Drosophila melanogaster: one gene and its partner. The protein of the gene in region 1 interacts with the protein of each later gene in a pairwise test. Each region holds a gene or a part of one and is shown in the gene's direction. Other genes may lie near its edges. The genes, in order: CG4701 and CG11349.

Region 1 (3,856 bases):
TGAAAGTCTAATTTTATAAATATATTTTCCGTTGGATACTGCCAGCTACTTTAAGCTTGCATTAAAAACATCTAACTTAAAGGATGTTTTTTTATGTCGTCTTGTCACATTTTGACGAATGCTCCACAACTTTCCAAGTGAAAGCTCCAGCTTTTGCAACAATATAGGCACAGTAATAACAACAAAATATATAATTAAATTTTTCGTGTGCTCAGCAGAACGAACGAGCGGACTTGGAATCTGACAAAGAGGACAAAATAAGGGGAAAGGACTACGAATATAGTGGGTGGTATCCAGCGAAAGGTAGTGAGCGAGCAGGAGTTGGTGAAATCATGAAATATTGCATAGCTGAAGTGATTTTTATGAACTCTTCAAAAGTAGCTCAGTGAAAGGCGAATAGACAGTGGAAGAACTTGGGCTGTTTGTTCAACATAAAGGTTCCCGGCACGCTAACGAGCTTAAAGATGTTGCACAAAGTGCGCACTGAAATTGCATCCATAATGGCGCCCAACGGAGGCGGTATGATATAATGCTCAGTAAGGGCTCCCTTCGCCATTTTCCATTTCGGGATAAAGGCGATTTTCATCGAAAGCTGCGCCCAAGTCTGGAAAACTCTGTTAAGTGGGCAAAGGTCAAGAGCAGATCAGTTCAGTTAGGGCTCCACACAAATAAGCCAATTTTCTATTTAAGATAGATCTTACTCCGTAAGGTACTCTTTCAAATAGTAATTTAATTGGATTTGTTTAGAGAAATTTTTAAACGTGCCTTAATTCATTCAATTCAATTCATTTTATTTATCAATCTAACTAAAGTCAAATGGATTATGGAAAGGTTAAGTTTTACATGGAGTAAGCGCTCGTGGGATCCTCTTTGGTTTCCGTTAACTTACAACATTTTCTGGCTTAGATTGGATTTAATTTTTGATCGGTACAAACAGACGTGAAAATGTTGGATTAAAATGCTAACAAGACTTTTGCGAAATACCAATTTTTGGATGGCAGACAGAGACACCTGAGCCAGGAATATGAAAACTATTGGGCAAAAACGGTGGATAATAGGGCTCTGTTCGTAGTAGTGGAAACTTCGTCCAGACATTGTGTTGAGTAATTCTTTTGTAATGCGGAAGGAAGCCCAAAACAACACAGTGCACAGCGATTTCCGTGAAGAGGGAAAGGGCAGCGGAAATAACTTCAAGACAAAGCACAGAACTGACCTGCGTTCGGTGGGCTGGGAAAATTGGGTGGTAAAGGGGTTCGCAGATAAATTGCTGCAGTGTTTAGTTAATACTTCTGACCGTCTTATGGCCTGGCCTTTCGTCCTTGGCTGCTGCTTCCAATTCAGCAGGATACCGAACAGCGATGGATTCTCGCAGCTAGATACAAGGAACAAGGAACAGCAGCTGGCTCGACAAGTTTATCTTTTGTTACTGAGACAAATACTTTGTTGAGAGATACTAAACTAGAAAACATTCTCCTCCGCCTTCCATTCAGGCTTTTTCAGTTTTATTTGCCGGCATTTCTTGCAGGTTAGCGTCAAAATCCTGCAGGAGGAACAGAGGCCAGAACAGAGCCCGGAAAACTTAAACAGAAATTAAAACGAATCTGGACAATGCACAGTGGGTAAAAATGGCTTATTACTCCTTATTGTATGCAGTAAGTAACTTTGGTTTAATGTAATTTAGCAGAACTACTATTCATATTTCCACGTTAATCTTAACAAATCTTTAAAAAGCAACTTTTGTTTTTATTTTTTTTTTGTCTCTGGGAACTAAGAAAACTTTTTTAAGAATATTTTTCTACAACACTTGACAATCCTATATTATATTTCTAGTAAATCAGTGTTGTGCATCGCATAGCAGTAGGCAGTTAGTAATATACCGATGTGTAATTTTTAAGTGACATTTATTTATTATTCGATACTAGATTGTCGATACAAATTGGTGTGTGAAAAATGGACTCGCAGGAGGGTACTCAGTGCCAGATCCTGGCCATCGTCATTCGGGTGTGTGTGTTTAGCGCGTTAACGTACTACACTGCCAAATGGATGATCAATGCGCTGGATCCCAATAATAAGATCCGGGGTAAGGCGAAATATGTTGCGGAAGAGCAGCTGCGCAAGCTGAACTCCTCGGCGATTGGCGCGGCAAAGAAGTTTCGAGCCCGTGACTTTAATGAGCACGAGATGATGATTGCTTCGCATCTGGTGACGCCTGAGGACATTGATATCAGTTGGTCGGATATTGCCGGACTGGATGGGACTATTCAGGAGCTTAGGGAGACGGTGGTTCTCCCAGTGCGTCATCGTAAGCTCTTTAGCCGATCGAAACTGTGGCGAGCGCCCAAGGGAGTCCTGCTGCATGGACCGCCTGGTTGTGGCAAGACCCTGATCGCCAAGGCCATTGCCAAGGATGCTGGGATGCGATTCATCAATCTGGACGTGGGTGTGCTAACGGACAAGTGGTACGGCGAAAGCCAGAAGCTGGCCACAGCCGTTTTCACGCTGGCCAAAAAACTTCAGCCCTGCATCATCTTCATAGACGAAATTGAATCTTTTCTCAGGATGCGCGGTAGCAATGATCACGAGGCAACCGCCATGATTAAGACTCAGTTTATGTTGCAGTGGGATGGGTTAATGAGCAATACCAACATTTGTGTCCTCGTTTTGGGGGCCACAAACCGGCCGCAAGACCTCGATAAAGCCATCCTGCGCCGTATGCCCGCACAATTTCACATTGGAGTGCCGCGAGACTGCCAGCGACGCGAAATCCTTCAGTTGATCCTCCAGACAGAGCAACTGAGTCCTTCGGTTAATCTGAAGGAGCTGGCCCGACTGACGATTGGATTTTCAGGATCCGATTTGCGGGAATTGTGTCGCCACGCATCCATGTACCGTATGCGCCAGTTTATGCGCGAAAAGCTGAACACCGGCGAGGAAATTGGAAAAGACAAGATTGAATGGGACTTCGAGGTAAAGGATCAGGCCTTGCAGGAGTGGGAGCACTTGGAAATTCAAATGGAAGACCTTCTCAAGTCGCTGTCCGTCATGAAGGCGTCGAAACATCAGGCGCAGGGCACTTTTCTCGAAAAGGATCTGGAGTTGGACTGAGGGTGCCGTTTTGGGTATTGATGAGCATAAAATCGGCAATAAAAGCTTCGTTATGTGCTTCATCAATTTTGCAGTTTTCTCTTGTCTTATTTGGAAGATTTCTTTGTATAAGCCAAATTTTATATTAATTAATATTTTAAACTCTAAAGCATCAAGCCTCCTTTAAAAAAGTGTCCTTGTCTTCCTCCCACTTTCACTTACCGCTGGTCTCTCTCAGCGAATTGGTATGTTCAATAACAAATTCCATTGCACAGCCAAGCTCATTTTTTCTCAGTGCTTCGCCATTATCTTCCGGCTAGTTCTATTTTACGAGACTACGCTCTTTATACCTCACTTTGGCTCATCCTGCCCAGTTACCAACACCCCAAACTGTCAGCCCGACCTATATTTTTCACATTTCATGGCATGCATGAAGAGTTTTTGCAGCCATGAAGAGCGGCGAGTTATCTGAAAAAAGGTCTGCAACCAGGAACGGCTGCGAAAGAACAGCACCAGCACAGTGGCACAACAAAAACTCAAAATAACAACAGCTACGACAGCAACAACAAAAAATCTTTTATGTAAAATTGAATATTCATAAGTTGATTCACAGAAGCGGCAGAAGCCTAACTACGGACCTCAGCCTCCGCCTCGTTTGCTTCTGAATTACTCTTGCGAAGAGTGTTTTTAATTTTATCATGCATATGCAATTCAGTAGTAAAGAACTTAATTAATAAAGTCGGTATATGGAAAATGTTCTTTGAAAACGAAA
Region 2 (4,725 bases), on another chromosome or scaffold:
AAAGAAAGCTCAGAAAGATAAACAATAACATTGTTTAGACTCGAGACCATTGGAGGGCGTCAATACAGATCAGATAACGTGATTATGCAAAAAAGGGCACCATATGCCATTAACCCCAAGAGGAAATGTTTAAGATACCTAATACCTTGGGAGTCGCGATCTTGAGGCTTCTCTGAACAATTAATCAATCAGTCCATCAATCGAGTTAGCGGAACATTAAGTCATTAGCCTGAGCAATTTGTTTGCTTTAAGTGGATAAGGTATACGGCTGACTAGATAGTTTATGACCGGCTAATTGCTATACTTCTTGTTCTGGATCGATTTAAAAATAGCTCTCTGCTACTGTTTCTATTAACCCAATATCGGGTTTAGTCTTAGCAAAAGCTTGGGTGAATTAAAAAAGCTCTTCTTCAAGACGAAACCAAACTATCAGGTTTGCGATAAAATTGTTTTGGCAAAAAAATTAAGCTGTGATACGTGTATTCTTATGAATATTTATATTTAATATGACAGCAAAAAAATGAGAGTTTTAAATCCAAACTCCATGGCGTACCTAACTGATAAAAACAAGCCCCATATGGCGTCGTGGTCGAGGTATCTGTTTGCCCAATTAAACAAATTTTTCGACGCGAAGAAAAACGTTTCGTTGATTTATGATACTCAGCACTTCCGTTTGGATCCGCAGATTCTCCGACTTGTATAAAAGTACAGGAGTCGCCGGTCTAAGATATTATTCGGTTCGTTGCTCCTAAAGCAAACAGATCATCTAAAATGGTAAGGATCTCCCATCTGTATTGCGGATTATATTAGTTGGCATATTATTCTATTTCGATTTTTCCCTGTAGAAATTCTTTATCTTGACCTTGGCCGTGGTTGGCTGTGTGGCCGCCGAATCTGGCTACAACTACAATGCTCCCCGCCAGGTAGCCGCCTCTGCCCCGGCTCCTGTTTTCCAGCAAGCTGCCTCTGCTCCGGCTCCAGTGAGGACCTACGTGCCCCCAGCTCCAGCTGCCTCTGCCCCAGTGCAGTCGTTTGCCCCTGCCCCAGCTCCAGTAGCTGCTCCTGCTCCCGTTTTCCAGCAGGCCGCCTCTGCACCCGCACCAGCCCGCACATACGTGCCTCCCGCTCCCCATGTCCACCACCATGCCGCCGCCTCAGCTCCAGCTCCCGTTCAGTCCTTTGCTCCTGCTCCAGCTCCCGCCCCCGCCCCCGTGCAGTCCTTCGCCTCTGCTCCAGCTCCTGCTTTCGAGTCCTCCGGACCGGTGTTCGAGGCCGCAGCTTCCGCCCCCTCTGCCGCCCGCTCCGGATACGATTATAGCCAGCCCGCCGCCAGCCAGCAGGGATACAAGTACAAGACCGTCCGTCGCCGTGTGTTCAAGCACCGCGCTTAAACGATGATGATGATACGATAAAATGCGACAATAAAAAACTCGAATATTAAATTTATAAAAACATAGTTTTATTTGAGCATTAAAACACTAATAAAGATAATATGATAATTTGATAATTAAACAAGAATGATATGGTGTATAGTTTTAGCAAAAGAAGCGCGCAAAAAAAAAAACTATAAAACCTAAAACAACATTTCAAAAGTGCTAAAATTCTTGCTAGAAAAGAAAAAAAAAATCGCAAAATTAAATTTTATTAATAATTGTTAGTTAGTACTGGAGTGCAGTTTTTCTTATCCATAACTAACAATCAGTTGTTAATGATAAATTAGTTTGAAGCTTCAATTGTATTACTAGGCCAAATTCACACCTGGAAACGAAGTTCAAAGAACCCATGCGTTATCGCATAAGTGTGCAGCGCACTTGGGCCAATAAATTTAAACGCTTTGATCTGACAAATTTACGGGACACTTTCGTTGTGCTTCAGAATATTCAATAGAATTTAAATTGGCGGCTATTCAATAAGAACAAATGGGTCACATAAAGCGCGGAATCGATTTCTCACGCTCGGCAACAGGTTTCGCTTTCAACTGTGGTCTTTTTTGGGGGCTCGATGTGGGGATGCAACAAAAAAGATCCCGAAGAGAGTATATAAGTTGCATCTACAGCTGCTTACAGTCACTGGCACTTTAGCAATGGTAACGGATCAACGATAGGTTCTAGGTTCCGCATTTCACCAATCCATTTTTATTTTAGAATGTCCTCGTGATCCTGGTTCTATGCCTTATGGCAATCGCATGTCTGGCGGACGTTTCCCATGTGAAACACCACAAGCACCAGCGGCATCATCACTCCAGGGATCACGAAGATGACGATGAGGAGTCCCATTACCTACCTCCCCACGAGGAAAAGGAGGTGGAGCAACCTTTTTACAAGAAGGAGAAGCACACCAGTGAAAAGGTGGTTTACCACAAGGTAGAGGAGCACGAGGAGCCCAAATACTACAAGGAGCATCAACATGAAGAGCCCAAAAAGCAGCGAGTGGATCACTACCATCACTATGACAAGAAGCCAGAAGTAAAGACCCAGCACATTCACTACAAGCATAGCAAGCCCCATGTCCGTACGGATTACAATCAGGACTTGTTCACCCCAGCTGCTACCCAAGTGGTTTATCGCCGCCGTCGTCCTAGTCGAATTCTATACGCCAGTGCCCCCAACTCGGTGTTCCACACCCACACGCAGATCAACGTGCAGTCCCAGGATTCGGAATTGAATTCCCTTACTCGCCCAGATCGTGCAGCAGGAGCACAGGATCCTGCTGGGGCTCAAGCACCGACTGGAGCCCAGGCACCAGGATTTCGACCCAACTGCCAGTTTGTTGGACCTGGAAACGTACCACCTGGCTGTGGACCCTCTGATCCCATAGGTGCTCAGCTACCAGCCAGTGCTTTGGCTCCCACTGGTGCTAATCTTCCGGCCAATCAACCTGTTGCCGGCGGACAATTGGCTGTTCTGGGTAACGGTCAGCGACCTCCACGTCCAGGTGGCTATGGAGGTGGATATGGCAACCGACTCAACTTTTTTGTTGATCCTTCGCTGGGCGCTCAGCTGGGAGCCATAGGTAATGCTGGAGCTGGAAATCAACAGGCTGCCGGAGGAGGTCAGCTTGCGGGAGGAGCTCAACTTGGAGGGAGCCAAGGATTCGACCCTTCCTTTGGTGCCCAAGCAGCTGCCGGAGGACCATTTAACACTGGTTTTGGAGCTGGTCAAAGACCTCAAAGACCTGCGCAAAACCAATATGATCCCAACCTTCAGCTAGGTGGCCCTTTTGACCCCTCCGTGGGTGCTCAATTGGGCGCAGGTCAGGGTGTTTCTAACCAAAGACCAAGTGGACAGGGAGCATTTGATCCTTCTACAGGTGCTCAATTGGGCGCAGGTGAGGGTGTTTCTAACCAAAGACCAAGTGGACAGGGAGCATTTGATCCTTCTACGGGTGCTCAATTGGGTGCAGGTCAGGGCTTTAACCAGAGACCAAGTGCACAGGGAGCATTTGATCCTTCGACAGGTGCCCAACTTGGAGCTGGACAAGGCGTGCCTAACCAGCGACCCAATGCAGCTGGACCAGGAGCTTTTGATCCCAATCAGCGACAGTCCGACCCCTCCATTGGAGCCCAATTGGCAGCGGGACAAGTACCACGCCTCAACAACCGACGACAGCGCAATCGATCCAACTACCAGGGTCTCAATGTGCTGAATGGAAACGTTTTCGGACAACCCCATCTCCAGGGACCCACAAATGCGCTGGGAAATCAACAGGACACCAACATCATAGACGGCAACTTCTACAGCGATCCTCATCATGGACACCAGCGGGCTTTGGTATCGGTTAATCCTAATCAGCGTTCAGTCCTTATACCCGATGACGATGATGCGGACGATGATGGGCAGCTAGGATTTCTGGGCTTTGCGGCTAGTAACAAGCAGTCCTCTTATGTGGTTGCTCCCAAACAACTGCGATCTCATAGGCGCAGTTCAAAGCGAAACAATGTGGATCTTAAAACATCTGCTTCGGAGTACGACACTGACTATCGTGAGGATGGCTATCACTACCAGAAGCCCAAACAGTCATTCGAGTTTTAAGTATTTTAAAACAGAACATATTATAACATAAATTAAATCATACTTATCAGCATTTGCTACAAGAGCATACCAAACAAACCTTGATTACTTATTTAAAGCATACTTTCAGGCGAAAACTATGGCGGCTACTTCCGTTTCCGCTCAAGGTAGCTTTAAAGTTTGTTGAGAAATCGACACGGGTTTTCAAGCTGAGCTTTATAAATTGAGCTTTTGATTAAGCTTTACACCAGACTACAAATATCTATATTGCACATAAAAATATCCAGATATTTACCAACTATGTATATTTGATTTTTTTGTTTGCCTTTAAATTACATACATTAACATAAATATACACGTGCAAATAGATTAGGGCATTTATGTTCTGGCCATATCTGCGATTGCCTTTGATGGAAAAGGTGTATATATTGTCCATTAGGGTACGCGGAAAGGAAACTAGTTCAGAGCTATATAGAAATAGAGGCACAAAGACATTTTTTTTATAGTGAGAGAGGCAAAATGAATTGTCGACATAAATTTATGCAATCATTTAGATTCGATTCTCATGCAAATCCAATCAACTGAAATCAAAATAGAAATAAAACAAAATCTATTGTTTCACCAGGCAGCATATCTTGGCCAGTCGACTGCATAGAGGTGAGCTGCCCAAAACACATTCATTGGATCCGTTTTTGGCCCACCTCATTTGTGACCT

Evidence for each region.
Region 2: the proteins of CG4701 (region 1) and CG11349 interact in a two-hybrid assay, tested with the Drosophila melanogaster proteins (one large-scale study listed by BioGRID).

What each region holds. Positions count from the first base shown.
Region 1 is NT_033779.5:14,764,057-14,767,912, forward strand, and holds CG4701 (uncharacterized protein), read left to right. Parts: upstream 1-1,851; 5' UTR 1,852-1,950; coding exon 1,951-3,105; 3' UTR 3,106-3,169; downstream 3,170-3,856.
Region 2 is NT_037436.4:4,470,994-4,475,718, forward strand, and holds CG11349 (uncharacterized protein), read left to right. Parts: upstream 1-2,074; 5' UTR 2,075-2,083; coding exon 2,084-2,086; intron 2,087-2,144; coding exon 2,145-4,031; 3' UTR 4,032-4,102; downstream 4,103-4,725. Other genes in the region: CG32248 (uncharacterized protein), read left to right, coding at 772-774, 846-1,391.